2 linked regions of the Mytilus edulis genome follow. The protein of the gene in region 1 purifies or fractionates together with the protein of each later gene. This does not show direct contact. Links are inferred from orthologs where the notes say so. Each region holds a gene or a part of one and is shown on either strand. Other genes may lie near its edges. The genes, in order: eukaryotic translation initiation factor 4 gamma 1-like and polyadenylate-binding protein 1-like.

Region 1 (10,992 bases):
CAAAGCAATAGCAATGGGAAAGACTTGCAAAAGCTTATAAGCAATAGGATAGAATATCAATAGTAGTAGCAATATCAATAGTAGTAGCAATAGCAATAGGATAGAATAGCAGTAGCAAAGAATGGCAATAGCATTATCATATTAAAGCAATAGCAATAGCATTATATAGAATAGTAATAGCAATAGCAATGCATCACAATACATTGCATTGTACAAATTTTTCATGGTAGAAGACTGTGTCCTATCACTCTTTCATTTTTAAGAAAAATAGCATGTCAAATTAATCACATATAAAACTCATTATACGACACTTTATCATGTTTATTAGATAGCCAATGATATTCAAATAAATTATAAATGAACTATTACTCATTCACATCTAAATAAACCTGCGAGTACCATATTTGGTTGAAAATATTTTAAAGGCACTGGCAGACAAATAAAAATCTTATGTGAAAAGATAATCTTATTTCTGAACTCAGTTTATACTTACGGTGTACTAACAAATACCCATAATGCAATGGACAGCAATCCAAAAATATCAGATGCATATTCATTTGAATTTGTCACACAGTCACCAAGTAACACATACAACCATCGTACTCCATCACTACAGTTACCTTTTGTCAGGTTATGTATGCTGTCATAGTGATGACCTCCAAGTAACCATGGATACAAATGTGGCATGTTTAACAATGCCTGAAATAAGCATAAATTTATTAAAAGCAGATAATTATGCAGGTATTTTCACAAAAAAATTGTTTCATATTCGATACAATATCTAAGCATTTACAGCATTATACTTATACACAAAAGAGTAAACTACATTCTCAAAAGCTTTTTTTAAAAAAAAGCAGACAATGGTTGAAATGAGACATTTATTTAAATAATTTTAAAATTGTACAGATTCAACCTCCTTATCACTCATATCACATCATCTTTTCTTTATATTTTTTCAGTAACTTCATGAACTGATCATGAAGTTCCTGTATGAATTCTTCTCTGAAGTATATATACATGTAGTTGATACAGAGATATATCTAGCCTTTCTGCTTTAAAGTTCAGAACTGAAAATCTGATGGACAGCAACATTGCTAATTAATTCAAAGTAGCTGGACAAGCTAGTGGTCAGGGCCTTAAAAGAGTTGACAAATTGAGATGTTCAGACAGCAATGTAAATTTGTAAATTAGGCCATTTATTTTAATGTTTGAATTGTTTTATATTTGTTATTTCAGAACCTTTTATAGCTTGCTATGCAGTATTTGTTTTGCTCATTTTTGAAGACTGTATGTTGACTTAAAGTTATTAACTTGTTTTCCTTGGTTCTGGAGGAAATGTGTGTTGCTGATAATCAAACTAAATCTTCTTTATTTCTATATTACATGAAAAAATTCCATACTTGAAAAAAATTATATATAAACACAAGCTTTATATGCTTAACCAACATTTTTAGCAAGGAATAAAAATATTACCTTGCAATGGCAGCTGGCAAATTGGCAACTACAGTCTTAATTCAATCACAGTTTTCAGATTAGCATGGTTTTATATCCACCATTAACCGTCTAATAAAAAAAATTAAAAACAGATTATCATTTATATCTAAAAACTTGATTGAAATGGCTACTAAATCATGTTCACATTAAAATGCATGTTAAGCCATTTCAATTGATATCTTATAGTGTGTTTTCTATGTTGTGATGTTCCACTATAAACGTATTTACACTTTTGGTATTTAGCTGAATTTTGTCTCCAAATGACCGTAGATCGCCTCCGAATAACCTTTTGACGTCAAGCAACAATCACTTTTTCATGCGACGTCAAATTTTTTGAATTGTTATGTCAAAGTTTACAGGAACCTGTGTGATTCTACGTAATGGCGTACAAATTTGCATACAAGTTTAAATACGTCTATTGTTGCGGGTAAGGGTGAAGGTTGGTACTAATTAAAACGTTTAAACCTGTTGCATTTGTTTGCAGCTGTCCGAAGTCAGGGACCTGATATTCAGTAGTTGTCGTTTGTGTTTCTCCTTTTTGTTTATTTTTACACTAGATTCTGTTAGTTTTCCCGTTTAAACGGTTGTACACTTATAATTTTTGGGGCCCTTTATAGCTTACTGTTAAGTGTGAGCCAAGGCTCTGTGTTGAAGATCGTACCTTGACCTATAATGGTTTTCTTTTCCAAATTGAGACTTGGATGGAGAGTTGTCTCATTGGCTTTCAAACAACATCTTCTTATTGTGCATTCAGTTGAGAGAATTATAGATTATCTTTGATCATCTCAACGAGATTGATTTTCTCGCTTGAGCCGGGATAAATGATAATCTGTTTGTCGCTATTTTACCTATGACGACATTGTCAATTTCATGTCAATTTCATTAGTAACGCCACATGCCGCCTTAGTTTCTAGCGATAATTTTCCATCTCAAGCGAGTAGCATGATATGAAAAATTATCACAAAAAAAGATCAAAGGAAAAATGCACAAAATAGCAATAATAAATGTTAATGCAGATGTATAATAAATATTGATGACTATATATATATATATATGTATGTAAGAATGTATTCCACAACTGACTGACTTGGCTGAGACATGTGAGACTGACTAAATGGTAACCTAAAAAGTCACACCAATGGGGTTTGTGAAACAAAAATTTTGAACAGATATATCATGTTAAGGAGGGGTATTTGCGAAAAATACCAGTCGAGAGAATGTAAAATTTCTCGAGCCGTAAGGCGAGGGAAATTCATTCTCAAGACTGGTATTTTTCGCAAATACCCCTCAATAACATGATATATCTGTTTAATTACACCGAATGTTAATATACTAAAACGCATTGTTGACCGTGACGTTACAAGCGTCCAGTCGGATAGAGTATTTTTTGCAAATACCACGGCAGAGAGGGTAAAAAAGGCATATCCTTTTAGCAAATACCCCGGCGGCGTTAAAAATGAAGGATATTCATTTGATAACAGTAAATTGGTGAAAAATACTGGCTATCAACCAATCAAAACCCCGGATTCTTACATAAGGTGTAATTAACAGTGAAATTTCCCCATAACTCTTGAAGTAAGACTTTTAAAAGTAGAGAGAGAAAAGGGAGGAGGAATCTTAGACCTTTCATCAGCACTAGTCTTTGGATTAGTCAGAAATTTCTGTGTAAAGCAAATATTTAAATAATGCTTCATTTTGATAATTCACTGGCTCTTACACCATATTTCAAAAAAAAAAAGAGAACAAAAATACAACAAAACTTTGTCATTTTCATTTTAAGTATATTCTTGATTTGGTATTAGATATGTCAAAGTGTAGATACATGTATTTACGCACATTTATATATATATCTCTATTTTATTAAACAGTACATTTTTAAATATATATCTTGTGGCAAAACATATTATGCATATACATGATATAGTACCTGTGGTCAATTAAAATCAATAACAATATATTTTGGTAATTTATTACTGTACATCTATACATGTATAATGTCCTTAATTTAACTAACCATTGACCTAAAAGGTCACAATTAAATAATAGTATTCAGGTCATTATGCAAAAAATGTTCTAAATTATCTAACAAAAAATTGTTGTGGGGTTGTTTCAAAAGCCTGTTCACACATGTATAAATATACTGGTCTGGTTGCTAAATTGAGATCTTTAACAATCCAATGGTAGTTATTATTTTTAATCACTTGAAAATTATATAATATTGGGAAATATTTTTTAAATACTTTAATTTAAGTTTATGCTGTTTTATTTATTTTTTCTTTTGATACTGATATAATACAAATAAACATCTTTAGACGAAAAAAACATTGATTATGCATTTTTTATATCTTAAAGTAAAGTTAGCTACTATTTTAACTTTTGAAGGAATTTACCCCTAAAAAACTTAAACAGATCATAATGTTAGTAATTTCTATGGTTTTTTTTAATATATAATGCAAAAGTATAAGAAACTATTTACTTAGAAGGTTTTCTCCTTTTAAATCATAAAACAGCATGCTAACATTTTCTCAAATTTTAATGCATGTCATCCATTTTCCCCTTGAAATCAAAATATCTACTTTTTAAAAGATCTAAAAAAATCATATGTCATCAACTCTAATATGAAAAATATGACAATATAGATTATTTCAAGAAAACCAGTTACAAAAACCAGTTTAATGGTCTAGTGAAGACAGTTATGAAATATGACCCCTTCCAGGTCAATAAAATAACAAACCATGTAATCGAATTTTACATAATAAATCATCTCCATGCCAGGGGTCATGACCTTATGTAATTAGCTATCCTCATGCTAAGTATGTCCTCAACATGACACTTCTGTCAGTTCCCTGCCCCATGGGGATTGCAAATATACTTCCTGGAGATCTTACACTGATAAAATATTAAAATCAATAATACCCATTCATTAATTGCCTGCTAAAATATATTTGGTTAATTGTTCTAATTGTATCTCTGAAATTTGTGTCCTGCATTAGTCGTCATACTGTGAAATTTTAAGTTATTTCAAGATTGGCCAAATGGACACTGTGGAAGTACTGATAATATTGACCATATAGTTCCAGGCTAACATATTTAAAAGAGTACAAATATGGAGAGGCTGATGCAATAGTCCTGAGGGCTGTATAGCCAGTCAAGGTCATTAAAAAAAATTACAATTTCTAAAAAATATTTAATCAGACTGAAAAACAACATTAATAATAGTGAAACAGAGTTTTTTTCTCTTTACAAATTTTTTAACTATCGTTATCTGGTCTCAGCTGTGTGAAAAGTTTGAAAATTAACAATGCAAGTTTATGCAATCTTAAAATTTACTGACGACAATATTCACCTATATTCTTGCAATATCCCTTTACATATATTATAAGAAAATATATTAAATACAAAGTTGAAAATGCATTGAAATGAAATCTTGAAATGAAATCTTGAAATGAAATCTTGAAAAGTCAAAATCTCTGACCACAGACATGACAGGACCTCTGTCATTATTTGGTTTCTTAATATCATAGTTCTGACAAGACAGACATGGATAATTGCTCTGTGAGAAGAGACTATTGATATAAGCTGTCACCTGTGTTTACTTTCTTAACATACAATTCCTTGATTTTACCAAACAGTGTTGGAGAGTTTGAAGTTTTAAGCACGAAAAATTTAGTACATGTAGTACTCTAGCATGTCTAGTAATGCACAATTTTTTTTCTAAATCCTTGTCCCATGTTAAAAAAAATTTCTTATTATTAATGGACCTAATGAAAAAGACAGTCACAACCTATTTATAAAAGTATAAACTATGCAATTACATGTATTTTAAGAAGCAGCTAATACCCTTGTTGAAATCTTTAACAATGAATGGTTTGATATTGTCATGATTGTAATAAAATAACAACCATTTGTGATATATATATTTTAATTTATTTATATAATTTGTCTAAATATTAGCCTAACCAATGTTAGATTTATAAATTTGCTTTTGCAAATTTGTTGTTCTTCCCTTGTCGTGATTCAAACTCATGAGATATTGTGGCACCAAATCGCCTTGCACTATGCACAACGCTCTAAGACCACTGAACCAACTAGGCTATACAAAAATGATAGGCGGTGTTGTCATAGAAGTATGAAGTGAAAAGTACAGGTTCCAGCCCCGGCTGGGGAGGAAGAAAAGAATCAAATCTACTCTAACATCATGAACATTGTTAGGTTGATTTTCTAGGCACTTCATATATTTATATATATACACGTGTATCAACAAATCAACAACTTGCAACATAGACACCGAATCACACATGATAATTGGATCTTAAGTAATTGCAACTTATATTAGTCCCTCTCCACTTTGCCGGTGTGAGTGCTTCTCTTTTTTTGAAATCTACAAGAGTGTCTTTTATGCGGAGGCGGATTTAGAGGGGGGTCAGTGGGGCTCCCCCTTTTGAGAAAAAAATTTGGTTGATTATATAAGGAATACACCTTAACGCTATTCCCGGCTGACCCGGCCGCTTGAACTTTTGACGTCAACAACAATCACTTTTCGATTGTGGCTCAGATATTTTGTTTTATGACGTGAATATTCTACGGGAACCTATGTGATATCCAGTAATGGATGACAAATAGCGATAAGGTGTATCGTGGGGCCCCCTCTTAAGCAGCCAGTGGCCCCCACTTACGAAAAATTCTAGATCTGCAACTGTTTAATATGTGCAAGAAATATGGCTCTCTCTTAACACGGGTTAGTGCTATAACATATGACTTCACATTCTTATTCAATATTTAACGTTTGTATACTGATATTTTCATTTTTTTTTCTTTTTTAATGCGAATGTTTACGGTCTTGTGATTGTGAGTGTACCAAATACCCCCCTTTTTCTTGCACTCAACCTTTTTAACGTTTCAACGATTTCTCTTTACCTTCATCATTTGTCACTGATGTCAAAAGATCATGACAAAGAAACTCAGATTACCTTCTGTTATTATTAATTACTTTAAATCCGGAATTTAAAAAAAAACACTGACTAGTTGCAACTTCAAACAACAGAATTTATGGTAACCTTTGACCCTTGCCGGTAACCTCCGTAAAGTAACCGGAAATAGCCGAGCTACGTCTCCTTGCAGACCCTTAACAAGGTAGCCATACTTATTTACATGACTACAATCTTATGCCATCGTTGATTATCTGACCATCATAATAATCTAAAAACTAGTGAGTATGAAAATTGAATACACGAACTCTAACAAAAATGATTTTGTTTCAATTTATGTAGGAGACAGAGCTTGGGAAACAAGCATCGGAAGGGTCCTTTTCCAGGACTAAACCGCTTCCTTTTCACGTTGAATGAAATGTCGAATGTACCAAAAGTGAAATCACCTACACCATCTCAAATAACAGGACATACACAGCAAAGAAGTGTAACGTATCCTTTTTATGCATAGTCAACAATTTATTTTATGTACTACTTGGGTTAATTCATTTTATTTCATGTCAGTTTGCACGAGAACAGATGCCGGTTTTTCGTCCTGTCACGTTTGCAGTTTTCGGGACAACTTGTGTGAGAAATATCCAAGTTTATTGAACTATTGATTGCACATCTGATTTAAAATTGTGTTTTTGTTGTTTGTTTTGTTTTTTTCTGTAACATAATGTTCCGACAGCTCGTTATGAAGGCGGGGCTTTTCGAACGAGGAACCACATTCTTTGAGCGTGCACATATCACATGACATTAATTACGACATCATGGAAAAGATGAAAACACGAAACAGTGTTACAGTGTGTTATCAACAGTGTTTAGTTAAATATCAAAATGAATTTGGAAATTTTGGAATGTTTCTTGTGAATTTTCTTTAAAATAACCCTTAAATGATATTTAGGATTATTGACATGTGGTGATGTGTAATATTTGTCAGATATTGGATATTTGCCAAATACACAAATTATTAGTAGATACACAATAGTCTTTGTTATAATGATGAACAAAAGTGAAAATAATAACATACAATGGAAGCTGAATATAATGAAAAGCAACACTGATTAATAGATATGATCAAATTCCAGAAAGAAAGTAAGAATTCTTGTTTTGTTGTTTATGATGCCTTATTTATTGTACATTTGTTTGTTACTCCCAGTTATGGTTTTATATATAATTTCTTTATACCAGTAGCAGAGATATTTCTTTTTCTTTTATGAGTATTTTGTTGTTACATATTTTAACCTCAATCTGACCTGTATTTGTATAGATCTGTGTTCAGGGCATTTTATTGGAAAAACAGGCATTTTCAGAAAGTACAATGTCAGATTTATTTTTAGACATTGTCACATTATGATAAGGTAAAAAATAAGCTTTCAATTTGGAGACTACTTGGCATATCTACATGTATGTAATGTTAAGGTAATTTGAAGTTGCATCTTATGGAAGTAAAAATCGTGTTTAACATTTCCTGTTACGAATCTAACCAATCTTACCAACTTATTTTTTATGTACATACACACATGTAATTTAAAAAATGAGCTATTGGTTATTTGTTAAAAAAAATCTGATATCCAACCTCTTGAAACCAGTTTTGGGCAGTTTTTAAAATCTTGATTTTTGTTGGTTGACCTTATATGTAGTACATGAAACTGTCCCTCCCGATTATTAATCTGATTGATGGAACCTTAAAAATTGTTCACATTTGTTACCATGTCAGCTTTAAAACCCTTCGCCAATATTTAGTTCGTGTTCTTTAATCCTAAGAGAACAAAATGTCATTTTAATGTTAGATCCAACCTTATTCATTCAATGTTTTAGTTCAAGAATATTATAATATCTACAAAGTGTAAAGATGATATGTCCATGTGAATTAATGCAATTACATAACAGGTATTTCCACGTCAATAATAGTTAAAAATAAGGTATATGCACATCTGCAAATGTATTTAAAAAGCGATATGATTCTTAAACCTATTCCCTTTTGTAGCTCATGCTTTATGGGAAATTGTGTCAGTAAAAAGGGTAAGTTTATTCCCTTTGTTCCTTGTATGGTAGGGTGTCAGAGATATACTATTCTAGATTAAGAACTTGTATTATGTTGCGGGTACCAGGTTGCAAATTAAAAGCTTTGTTGTGCTAGCCTAGAAATGGGAAGATTTAAATATTTAAACTCATAGTCCTTTTCCTTAACCTTATACAGTCCAAGAGGAACACCAAATTATAACAATTGTAAGTATATATGTTTATGGTACAGTATGGCTGCATGCTTATTATAGGATCTGCTTTAATTAGAATATTTTCATTCTTGTGGGGGTAATATGGGTTTATATTTTGTAGTATCTGGACTTGTGCTCCTGAGTAACCTACGATGAGGAAGTAACCTTTCCATCGATCTGTTACTTTGCTCCTCAACTGTCAAAAGCTTTATGTTGTCACCTGGGTATTTCAGCTCACTCTCGGTATCTGTAATTTTCCATTTTGATCTTTTATAAGACGGACAACTATTTTTTTTTTTTTTTAAATAATGGAAGCATGTATGATCGACTTTGTAGACTAAAATCATATTATTTCGGAGGAACAACTTTTTGTGCAAGCTTCACTTCAATGCATTGTAACACCAGTGTACATCATCAGATGAAGATTGCAAAATTAGTTGTTTCATTAAAACATGATGATCTTTTGTTAATGATTTATCCGTTGGCACAGCTAGACTGATAGGACATCCATACCACACAGATGTTATGGGAAGAAAATTGACTGTTAAAAAAAAAGTTTACGTCTGTCTTCTGAGTTACATGTACCACATACCCATACCCACCAGCTCAGGATTAAAAAAATCTCTATAGGCCAATAAATTGAACTTCATGCCCAGGGCCAATGGATTCTAAAGTTGTTCAAGATTCTGCTACATACATAGAATATGTGTGTATTTACACATGAGGAATGACCCCTTGCGAGTTTGTGATACTTGTATGTCTCGCAGACATTGTCCAAAAGATCAATGAAATAATGTTAAGGCATGATTTGTTTTAGGGGTACCACAAGAGGAGCAAGTACAACAGCAACAACAGCAGCCACAGTTTTACATTTCTCAACAAGGGTATTTTAATCCACAACAGGTGCAACAGGTATGTATCGATGTGTATATTTTGTTAAGAGCTGATTGCATTGAGTAAGTAGGTAAAGGTAATAACTTTGGTTAGCTTGCTTGCTAGCTGAACCATAGCCATTAGTAGGTTAGGTAAACCACCCTTCTTTAAGAGTAGACTAGTCCGACATATAACCAATCTATCTGTCTGTAGGACACGGCTACTAACAAAGGAGGGTAGTATATTTTAACTAATTATGACTTCACGCTTAACCACAAGTCCTACAGCAATGGCTTGTGAAATTCTTCTCTTCACGCCAACAAAATCCAACTAAAAATTTGTTAAAATTGAGCTTCAGGCTTGTGGATTCAAATGTTTAGCATGAAGACTGGAGCAAGTAAGCTAGCTAAAGATATTACTTTAACTTACACACTCAATGCAAATAAAATGTATTTTTTCGTAAGAGAAGCATTGAACTTATTATTTGTATTTATTATAATTTTTATGTACTATTTTGCCATTGATGTTTAACACTTGATTTAATATTCAAAAGTTAGCAGAATATATTTATATGTAATATTTGTACTAAATGAGACAATTACCTTTTTTTGCTCATGTGTGAATTGTAAGTTGTACTGTGCATAAAAATTAGAAAAATATGCACTTATATTGGGAAGCTCTTAATTAACATCTTGGATATAAATTTCAGTTTTCTACTCTAATCTATTTGATGCTGCATGATGGGGAAAATATGAAAAAAATAACGTGTTATCGCGTATGAGATAACTGTCCACCAGACCAAATGATAAAATGGGTATCTACTTTTTTACAGCAATTTCTTCAACAACAGGTGAACCCACAACAGAACTATCCCCATGATATAAGTAAACAATTGAATAATCAACAGTTGGTACAAGGCCAAGCCCTGGCTCAGCAACAAAACATGTATCAACAACAACAACAAAGGACACCAGCAGTATGTATATACATTTGTAGCTTACAGCATAGTTCCTTGCATGGTCTGCTCTACAGTAATTAAATTGCTTTTATGCTTTTGGGCAGCTTTTTAAATCAAGATAAAATATTTTAATTTTACAGAAAATTACTTTGCAAGATTAATAGTTTGAAGTTTAATACATGTACATGAATTATGACCTTGAACTAATTATTCCTCGTAATCATTTTTGTACAATCTGAATCAAAGGTTTATGTCGTGCAAATTGGTAAATATTATTCCAAAAAGAAGATATTTTGCATTCACAAGTTTGTGCATTATATAAAACCTCTTCTTGACAATATTCATACAAAAAATCTGTAAAACAGACCAGTCATTTCAATTTATCGACTCTTGTTTATCATTAACACTGTTTATTATTTCAGCCCTTTTACCCACAACGGCCTATGCAGCCTCCTCAACAGCAGAGGATGCAGATGCC
Region 2 (10,587 bases), on another chromosome or scaffold:
TAAAAATGCATATGTTTGTCGATTTGTTTAACTCAATGTACGGTCACCAATCTAAAAGGTTCATGCTTGTGCTAATTTCTTTATTCCAGTCAAATGTGTTCAACGATTCTAACGTTTTTGTGTTTTATTCACAGTCCAAATTTCTTCACACAAAGTCATTTAATAAAATAAATCCAAGTTGTTTTACTCACAAACATGTGTGACATACGGCGATTTGCGTTCTTGGGCACAGCGTATTACTTGTAACCCGAATATTTCAAGCCCTTCTCGTAATCAATCTCTATTCTCGGTAAATGATGTTGTCATCAAAGATCAGCAGAATATATCGACTGAATCATTCAGTAAGAATACGCTAAGAAATACGAAAACCGAAATCTGAAACAGGAAGTTTTAGATGAAACGAAATTATCGACGGTTTATACTGGTATCGGAAATGAACAAAATCCGGAAATCGTATTTTTTTCAAAAATAAAAAAAATCGGGGCGGGAAGATTTCAAAGGGGCGGGCGGGGATGAAAATCTACCATTTAATTTTAATTGGCCCTATGTACAAGTACAAAGGGGCATAATAATGAAGAAATCAAAAGCACAAGTTTTCAACTTTTTCAAACTGAGCTTTTAATTTTCGCATTTATATACTCTATACACAACCAATGATTACAAAGAAAACTTACACTTTCTTTCCATTCAACAACATGCCGTTTACTTTTTCAATAGCATTTCTGGCGGCTTCCTCAGTCTCAAAATGTACAAATCCGTATCCACGTGATCCATGCTCGTCACAGACAATCTAAAAATAAATGTTCCAAAACTTACATATAGTAACAGAATAACGCATGTATAACGAAAGTTATTCAATTATTGACCTTTTTCGAGAAAATTGAATTTGTAACTCCAAAACTTCTGGTCAACTTAGGAAGTTAATATGATTGTGCAATCTGATTAGTCAAATTAATCTGGTTACCTGTTTAATTATACTAGTTACCAGTAACTAGAAAATGTGACCAATGGGGTTGCAAGGTGATATTATAAACTTCTGAAGTTAACCAGAAGTTTTGGAATTAAAAATTCAATGGTCTGGAAAAGGTCAATAATTTTCGACATAAGTGTGTTACTCTGTTTGAGGGGTTTTCTCAAGGGACATGAACCATGTTTTGTTGCAGAGATAAATCAATTACCCACAAACTGGTGTATGTTTAACTATGCATGAAAAATGCAAGGGAAAGTTAATAAATATCGGTTGAAGCAAACACATTGAAAATTTTTGACAGAAACAAATGCCTGTGATAAATTCCTGTGATAAATTCCTTTATTTTACAAAGATCTTTATATTTAGACGGCCTTATTTTTTCATTTTAATTTTTTTTGTGTTCATGTAACATGGTTCTTAGTCATTTTTATCTGTGGAGATACCCACCTATTGAAATGGTGGATCAAGAGGGGGGCATAGAGGGCACCCCCCCCCCCTTCCTTTGCTTTTTTTTTTTGTAAAATGATTAATTAGACTAGACTTCGTGAACTTTGCCATTTCCCGTGTATTTGATTTTCAAGCGACAATTCTTTACTTATAAAGATATTTGTCTCGGATAATTACTAATCATGTCAAAGTCATGTTATTTGCTATGATCATGATGGTGGAGTTCACTGCTGTGTCAAAAATAAAAAATAAAACGTCACTCGGTCATTTTGAAATTCAAATTACAGTTACACATTGCTTTAAAAGCTAAGAATGACAACCATGATACCTTCAAAGCGGCGCAGGATTGAGCAAGAACGTTGTGACTTCTGTTTCACAATTCAACCAAACAGAAAGTAATACTCTAACACACACTCAAAAAAAAATCCACAGCAATATTATTTACCTACGAAAACATGCTTAATCCCAAATGCCCAAGCCTATTTTAAAATGACATGATAGCTAAATTATGTTCCCCAGTCAATATAAGCTCTATATATAGATTTAAAGTCGAAGGTACAAACCATCAGATATGAGGAGGCAGTCCAAGGTATTTGAGAGAAAAAAAATTGACTCTGATTTGTGAATTAAATAAGAATTCTGGTCGTATCTGAACTGAAAACAATAATCTTGTCAACTTTTGTGAGATATTAGAAATGGAAATTTCCAACAGAATTATTTAGCATTAAATGAACATAATGAATAAAAATGTATTTTTTTTAGGTCAGGGTTTGCATGTCTGACCTGAACGTCTGTTTAGCCGAGCTGATATATTGAATACTTTCAAGACCAGACTGCAATCTGCTTGCTGAGTGAGGCCTTTATGTCTAAATTTGTCGACCGTCATTCATAAATTAGTTATCATTTCAGACTCATTTGTAACCTTTGGTTTATTTTGGAACCCCTCACTTCCCTTAATTTTGTTGGGTGAAATATATCAACCAAACATTTGGATAAAGATTGCTTGTTTGACTATTTTAACTTGTGTCGGTAGAATTGTTAATTTCATCAAATAGCCCGGAGTGTTTCATGTTTATTTTTTACTGACAAGTCCCACATCAAATATATAAGTACGTAGCTTTGAATCCATATACTATCATTATCTTTATGATAGACAATTAACAGGGAGAAAACAGTGTAAAATGCACTTTTTAAACGGTTCCTGACGTGGGGCATGTACATGTATATTCTATAGTAGCGGTAAAGTGTAAGGGTTGGACAATTTTTTATACTCCTTATTTCATGTTTTTTAACGGAAAAAAAGATCCCAAAATTTTTTCGACTCGCTCCGCTTGGCAATCTTTAACAACTTCGCATCCCCCTTTCCAAATTCCTGAATCCGCCCCTGCCTTCAATTTTCACAACATAATTTTTTTACTCTCACCTGTCAACAAAAATAAAATCCATTACTTAACAGTTTTCTTACCTTACAGGATAAAATATTTCCAAAGGCAGAGAATGTATCGTATAATGCCTTATTGTCAATGCTTTTGTCAAGATTCTTGATGAATACGTTGCCAACACCAGATTTTCTCAGAGATGGATCTCTTTGTGACCACATGATTCTTATTGGTCGACCTTTGATGGTGTCAAAGTTCATTGTGTCAAGAGCTCTCTCAGCTGCAAAAGATACACGAGTATGTTCAGCCTGCATATTTTGTGTCAAGATTCAATTTCAGAAAAGACATTCACAATCAAACCTGATAACATGTACATTTGTATTAGTTTTTACAAGTTTATAAAAACCTTGAATTTTACATTTTGTACGTACACATGACATATAAATTTATTCTTGTTAGTGAAAACAGTTTGTCAATGAAATATTTTTTTAAGGTACATGTACTTCCAACTTTAAAATTCCAAATTAGAACAACGAAAATAGAAGTCCGCTTTCCAACGGTCAGTTGGAAAAATATGTTGGTCGGAAAGGCCTAAGTGGTGTCTTGAATGAAAACAATAATGACAAAGCAACGCCACAGCAGCTGATTGGCCAGTGTTTTTAAACATAATTTATTTTTGGAAAAATGGAAGATTCAGTGCGAACAAAAAACGAAAAATATGCATTCGTGATTTGAAGGGGTTAAGACCGTGCAGTGTCATCACCTAGTTATCTATGTACTAAACAGCAGACACTATTGATTTTGTGAAATTTTAATCATGTAACACTTCTAGCTTGATCTGACAACCAAGATGATGTTTTTACTTGTCTGAATACGGCATTAACTCATCAGGGCAATTGGACCACCTTAACTTGAGACTTATGTTTGTGATAATGGTATTGTTTAAGTGGGTTTGAATTTTAATTCTACTTTTTTTTTTAAACATGTGAGAGTACAAAAAATGTAGGTCGGAGGTACATTGACTTAATTGCCACTGACAATCTGTCATGTGTCTGGTCTAAGGACTGTGAAATTGAAATGTATGAATGATCACAATTTGAATACATGGAAATGTAAATGTGTTATCAGATATACAACTTTGGATATCTTACCATCTGCTGGCTGCTGAAAGTTGACATAAGCATAACCAAGTGAACGTCTTGTGATCATATCTCTACAGACACGGATACTGAGGACTGGACCTGCTGTTGAAAATTTCTCAAACAACATAGCTTCGGTGACATCTGGGTGAAGATCTCCTACGTACAATGAAGCCATTGGGTAACTTGCTCCAGCCGGATTGATATTAGTCGTCATTTTCAGAGGTTAAAATATGGCGCTGTTGATTGCTAGAAGAAATAAGTTGTTTTCGCTTCTGTTCTATCACAAACCTACCGTTTCAGTAGTTTTTTTAATAGTTTTGTTACTTTTTCAATTTTTTTGTATTTTTTAAAAGTTTTTTAGCTTAATTTCTTCCAGTTTAAGTGTTGTGTGAGACAACTTTTCGCACACAACACACGGCAACCTCACGATTTGAGAAGAGGGATAGGAGAGGTAAATTGCCGCGATCTATATATCATTTGAAACCGGATAATCCTACACTCAAATAATCCAAGAATATCGAAACGAAATCGATATCATTAAACCACTGGCAAGTTATCATTTTCTACTCTTTCAATAATTTTCGAAACGTAAACTTTTATTTTTGTACTCAGTATGAAGAATTATTCTTTATTGAAGGAAAATTTCCAAAGAATTTCCACCAATTTTTTTTTCAAATTGTGACGTGTAATATTACTACGCCGATTCATTAGAGTTATCTCCCTTTTAATCCACGTGTTTTACGGTCATGTATATGACGCAATTTTATTTAACATTTTTAATAGCATGTCAATCTTTTCATCCTGGTCCCTATTGTTTGTGGTCAATGAGTTAATCGACCACCAACATTTACCGTGGGGAGTTGTTAGATGTTGACATACATTATGTAATAAGTGGAACATGAATCAATGCAAAATTGCAAAATTAGAAGTAAAAAAAAAGTTTTTTTTAAAGATCTTTAAACTTGGTTTTAACTGGTTTTTTTTTTTAATCTGCAAGAACTGGAATAAAAAAAATCACAAAAATGCTAAACTCCATGGAAAATTAAAAACGGAAAGTCTACAGCCAGGAATTTCCAAAGGGGGATTATTTGGACTCGCGAACTCAACTTTAACAGTCACAATTCGAACAGAACGTTGACTTTAACAGTGCTTAACACATGACATGGGCAAAATCTCTTTGTTCTTACTGTACTATAATCTGGATAATGCACAGCAAAGGTGTGCATTAACTACCTCAGATATACTGCACAGTTCAAATATATTTTTACCTTTAGGGGCGGTTCCTAGATGTTGACAGGGGCGTTATTCTATCAAATTAAAAAAATATATCACCGAGTGTAGCGAGACTAAAACAATATTGACGATTTTAAGGCAAAACACGATACTTTGTCCCGTGAATCCTAGGGTGAACGACATGTTCGTCCCCACCCCCGAATCCGACTTCTGCCTTGAAATTGCGACAAAATTTAACTTTGTACAAACATCGTAGTTTCAAAATAGGAAAAAAGAAAGGTTTCTCATTCCTTTTTTTTTTCATCTTAGCTTGAACATAAAATTTTTATTATATTTTGCGTAAAACATAAATCTTAAATCAGTGTTTTAAAGTCAGAAAGAGAGTTAAAACAATGTTTGGTCATTTCCGCCAAAAAAGAATTCGAAATGAATCTAAGAATATCCGAATAAAAGAAATCTGATTTGGATTAGTTTTAGACTCAATGGAATTTAATATAACGACTTTTTCAATATCTATTCCTAGCTGGAGATCAATCAGACTTCATTTAGATGGACGTGTCTTAAAAATTAATACAGTAGATACAAAGAAATTTGGGGGAGGGGGAGGAAAAGATTGGAAAGAAAAACGTATTTTCTGTTTATTCAACATTTAAAATTTAGGTAATATAACATCTTCCTCGGTTTATCTTTCTCTATTATTTAAAGCACATCATTGATGGAAAGATATTCAAAAGCAATTAACCTAAACTCAATAACCCTTTCAGTTATGATTTTTTTTCTTCATACAACGATTTGAAGGTACTCAAATTGTCAAAGTCTTAATCGTCACTTATTAAATAAAAAAAAATCGTCCACATCTAAAACGTCGTTCGGGATAAGGGTCACCTGAGCTGTGCAGATTAAATTCTATATACCGACTTGCTTGGTCAATAACTATAACTTATTTGTTTTCAAGGGTGAGGGTCGTCCGAATCCCCCTCCCCTGGCTACGTGTATGGGCTAATCAAAAAGGAGGGTAATACCTTTTTATGTTAACCTGTTTTGACCTTTTTTAAGGTGTTGTTAACTGCGGTTATTTGAGATAAAATTGAATAGTTAACTGTTTCTAACCCACTGTCTGTTATCTGTTCTGCTTTTTTTATTGAAAATGGGACTCCTGTTATAAATATGTTACTTGACACTTAAACTGTTAAAGTGTTCACTGTTTTTGACATAATTTGTCTCTGTGAACTGATCTTCACTGTTATTTACAAGAATGTCAAAGTTAAGATTCAAACTAATCACATTAAATATAATTTTTATCCTTTCAAGAAGTCATAATTATTTGGACTAATATAGGGGGGATAGGACCTTTATCGGGACTCCGGGATCGGGTGTTTTTAAGCTGGGGATTTCGGGATTGACCCTTTCGGGATCCGGGAATTCTTTTTTTCGAATTTCGGGACCTCGGGATTTCATGTTTTTAAGCCCGGGATTTCGGGATTTCGCGGTGTTTTTAACTCCGGGATTTCGGGATCAGGACCCCTCCTATCCCCCCTCTAATATGTTAAGTACTGTCTTAATTTGGAGATCTTTGAGATTTATAGTAATCCTTGATAAAATTGAGAATGGAAATCGGGGGAATGTCTCAGAAGCAACAACCCGCCAAAAGAGTCAGAAAACAGCCCATGGCAAAACTAAAACGAGTCTTCAACACAACGAGAGAATCCTACGCCAGAAGCTGATTTTAAGAGAGCAATCATTTTAAATTCAAGCAAGAAGGGAATACCCGGGTAACTAGTTCATATAAAATGGACTTCACTACAATAAAGTCCGAAACGAATCAAAATTGACAAAAAAATCAAGAGGTATATATGGCTGAGGTTCCACAAAATTGTTAACATATCAACGCTCCCCCTATACTTCTAACCGGGTCCCATGTAGTTCATTTCTGTCTCCTATTAATAATTGATCCAAAGTTAACAGCAGGGGCCACTTCACACCCAGCTAAAACCCTGGTCAGTCCCAAGATAAAATCATTCAAGATGATACAGAAAGTGTGATAAGTTACATTGACCCAGAGCACCGTAATGGAGTTGTGTCGGAAAAATAAACTGTACTGTTTGAATTTGCAATTCGAAAAATAATTGAACAGTGAGACCTGTTAGAAGAGGCAGACACATCAGGACTTGGTTCTCAAATTGATGCCAAACTTGCTACCTTCAGAAATGTGAAGATGGACAAAAGTCTTTTTCTATATAAGCTATAAGTTCTTGGGACGTTTAGATGGAAGAATCTTGTGACACCTTACAGGGTACTTGGTGATTTATACATTGATTTTAATTATTTGCAATAAAAATCAGTAATCTTTTCAATTCATTTTTATAAAAGCTTATAAGCTACGAGTCGTATGAATACACCGATATGTACCCATAATTTATTAGGGTCCCAACCATAATGGTTAGACCTTATTGTAATAACTCTGTCTGTCTGTCACACTTTCATACGTTGCACGATTACCAAGGTTTGCTTCAACTGATTGAAATAAAACGTAAACACAAAAATACACATAACCAGAGAATCGATAATTCATGTCTGAAAAATTGGAATATGCATGGCTGGTGAGGCCTTTCATGACTGCGTATAGTCATTTTTCTAGCACTCCGTCTGCCTTTCGATCCGTTCAATTGTCTGTTCATGTGTCCAGCATAAAAGAAATGGTAGTTGTGTGCAACCTGAAACTTTATCATCTTTATTAAAGATTCATTAGGTCTTTGCATTTCTGCCACTTTGTACAGTGGTTCTGAACTCATTGAAGGTGTGCATTTCCCCTTTTCATTGCTTTTGTGTTTATTTGGGAAAAAAGTGTAGATTAAAGCTGGTGTTAACTGTACTCAGCATTTTAAATTTTTTGTTAATTATTTTTGTCAAAATTGAGGTGTTGTTAACCCTATTGCCCCCTCATCAAACGGCAAAATCAAAAGCTGAAACACACCAAAGGAATGGATATCACAACAACCAGGCGAATCCGGAACTTTTTATAAGGGGTACCCACTGACTTTCCTAAGGGTGGGCTGCTCCAGCCATGCCTCTGTGATTCCCTATGTAATCAAACAAATGTTTCCAACATAATGGACCCGGCACCTCCACCCTCCTTTTGGGCCAACCTTTCATGACAACTGTCATATTCCTGACTTGGTACCGGCATTTTTTTATGTGGATTAAACCTGGCCTTGTATGACTTATAGCTTGCTTAACCTCTCACTTGAAAATGTAAAGAAGGCTTGGAACTGGCATTTGTTTACATCGGTTTGGAAGGGTAGCATTTCATTACTCAATAAAAGGCTTAGACTATTTTTGTGGTTCCTTTAAGAATTTATGGATATATTTTTTAATTTTAATGAAAATTATGAAAGGTTGCAAGATGGCTTACTGTGTAGTGTTAATTTCCAAAAAATCTTATAATTTTCAATGGTTTTCATTCCGGTTTTATTGTTGTGCGTTTGTTTTTCTACATTGGCTAGAGGTATATAGACGATAGATGAGATCTCCAAAAAAAAACATGTTTAACCCCGCCGCAATTTTGCGCCTGTCCCAAGTCAGTAACCTCTGGCCTTTGTTAGTCTAGTATCATTTTTAATTTTAGTTTCTTTTGTATAATTCGGAGTTTAGTATGACGTCCATTATCACTGAAATAGTATGCATAGTTGTATAGGGGCCAGCTACATTGAAGACCCATTAGTTACCTTCGGCTGTTGTCTGCTCTATGGTCGGGTTGTTGCCCATTTCCATTCTCAATTTTATTGAGTGGTGTCTGTGTTGCCCAGACTAAAATTTTATGACTATGATGTGTTATTTGTACTTTTCTTCTGATCGTAAGACAGATTGAAAGAATTGGTTCAACTTGATACAAATATCAATTCGCAACTAACAAAAATATATATACCTAATAAATACAAGGGGTGAGGTATTTCAACTGACATCTTAACGGCGCTTCACCAGCTTTCACAACTCGTTTGGTATTTAAGAGCTTGCAGCTGCTACTTAGACTTTATAAAACGTCACAAGTGCATGAGCACAAAGCTGACAAACCAGGATTATGTCAAAGAATGTATCGTGCTTTATCGAAAAAAGTTCATTGGACGAAACCAAAGCCTTCAACTTGTTGATAGATATTCCGTATCAACTTCATAAACAATACATGATGGTCTAGATCTTGAAGTCAGTATTCTAGGCTGATTTATCATCTTAAATACCTGCTATGATGTTCCTTTTATTTGTCTTTGTATATACATTTTTAACCTTTACAGTTGATATAAAAAGAAGATGTGACATGATTTCCAATGAGACAAATCACTACAATAGACCAAATGATGCATAATTTAATAACTGTAAGACATTCAACAATGAGCAAAGCCCATACCACATAGTCAGCTATAAAAGGCCCCGAAATGTCATGTTAAAAGAAATTCAAACCAGAAAACTAAAGGTCATTTACAGGTTCCTGACTTAGGACAGGCGCATGATACAGAATGTGGCGGAGCTAAACTAGTTTGTTGGCGTCAACCCCACCCTAACCTGGAACTTTTTATCAATCCGTTCACATATCTTATATCCAACGGGTTTCATTAATATAGTGTTAAGTACAGCTCTTTATAAGAACCAGGCAGTGTGCCATATACATGTGATACATGGGGGGTTTCAGATTTTATCTATATTTGGCCTAGTAGAAGCAATACGTGAAAAACGCTTAAAAAATAATTTTGAGTGGGAAAATATGAGTGGTTGCCATGGTAACAGACACACAATTTTTTGGTTGTTAAGCGTTGTAAAATCTTTCAAAAATCAGCGAAATCACCACATTTCAGAGCCTGAATATGAATACAATCATGCATTTTTCATTAATTTTCATATATAACATTGATAGAACTTGGTTTAAGCTTCATTTTAGTGAAGATTGCATGTCAGCCAAATTTGTAATTTTTTGGTAAAATTTTGTGAAAAAATGCATATTTTCAACTTTTCTGAAATTGGGATTTTTGCTGAATTACCACATTTTCTCTGGTGTTTTTCAGAAAAGTGCAAATGTGTACAGAATAGTTAGCACTGTAGTTATGAAGTTTGGATACTACTTTACCAAATTTAATAGAAAAATGTGTGGGATTTTTTTTAGTTTTATCACCATAGCAACCGATTTTTTCCTTGGAAACGGAGTTTTCATTTGCAGAATATTGCAGTTTAAGAGCTTAAATGTCCTGAATTTTTCATAACCGATAAGAAAAATACATAAAAGCTAACGAAAACTTTAAATAGCAATCGTTAAGTGTTGTTGACTTCAATTGTTACCACGGAAAGACATATTATCCATAGCATCATCCACCAAAAACCTGCATAAATAGAAATTTATGTACAAAAAACATATAAATAAAGCGTTCAA

The links.
Region 2: the proteins of eukaryotic translation initiation factor 4 gamma 1-like (region 1) and polyadenylate-binding protein 1-like purify together in Drosophila melanogaster (affinity purification with western blotting; 3 studies listed by BioGRID, with this or other methods). This does not show direct contact. The link is inferred for Mytilus edulis from reciprocal best matches to the Drosophila melanogaster genes eIF4G1 and pAbp.

What each region holds. Positions count from the first base shown.
Region 1 is NC_092356.1:41,477,453-41,488,444, forward strand, and holds the start of eukaryotic translation initiation factor 4 gamma 1-like, read left to right. Parts: upstream 1-6,570; 5' UTR 6,571-6,627; exon of another isoform or gene 6,628-6,703; intron 6,704-6,764; 5' UTR 6,765-6,840; coding exon 6,841-6,914; exon of another isoform or gene 6,915-7,537; coding exon of another isoform or gene 7,538-7,559; intron 7,560-8,454; exon of another isoform or gene 8,455-8,464; coding exon of another isoform or gene 8,465-8,489; intron 8,490-8,667; coding exon 8,668-8,696; intron 8,697-9,500; coding exon 9,501-9,595; intron 9,596-10,388; coding exon 10,389-10,532; intron 10,533-10,936; coding exon 10,937-10,992. Other genes in the region: lysosomal amino acid transporter 1 homolog, read right to left, coding at 494-687.
Region 2 is NC_092355.1:9,891,313-9,901,899, forward strand, and holds the start of polyadenylate-binding protein 1-like, read right to left. Parts: upstream 4,409-10,587; 5' UTR 4,153-4,408; coding exon 3,948-4,152; intron 3,077-3,947; coding exon 2,883-3,076; intron 791-2,882; coding exon 675-790; intron 1-674.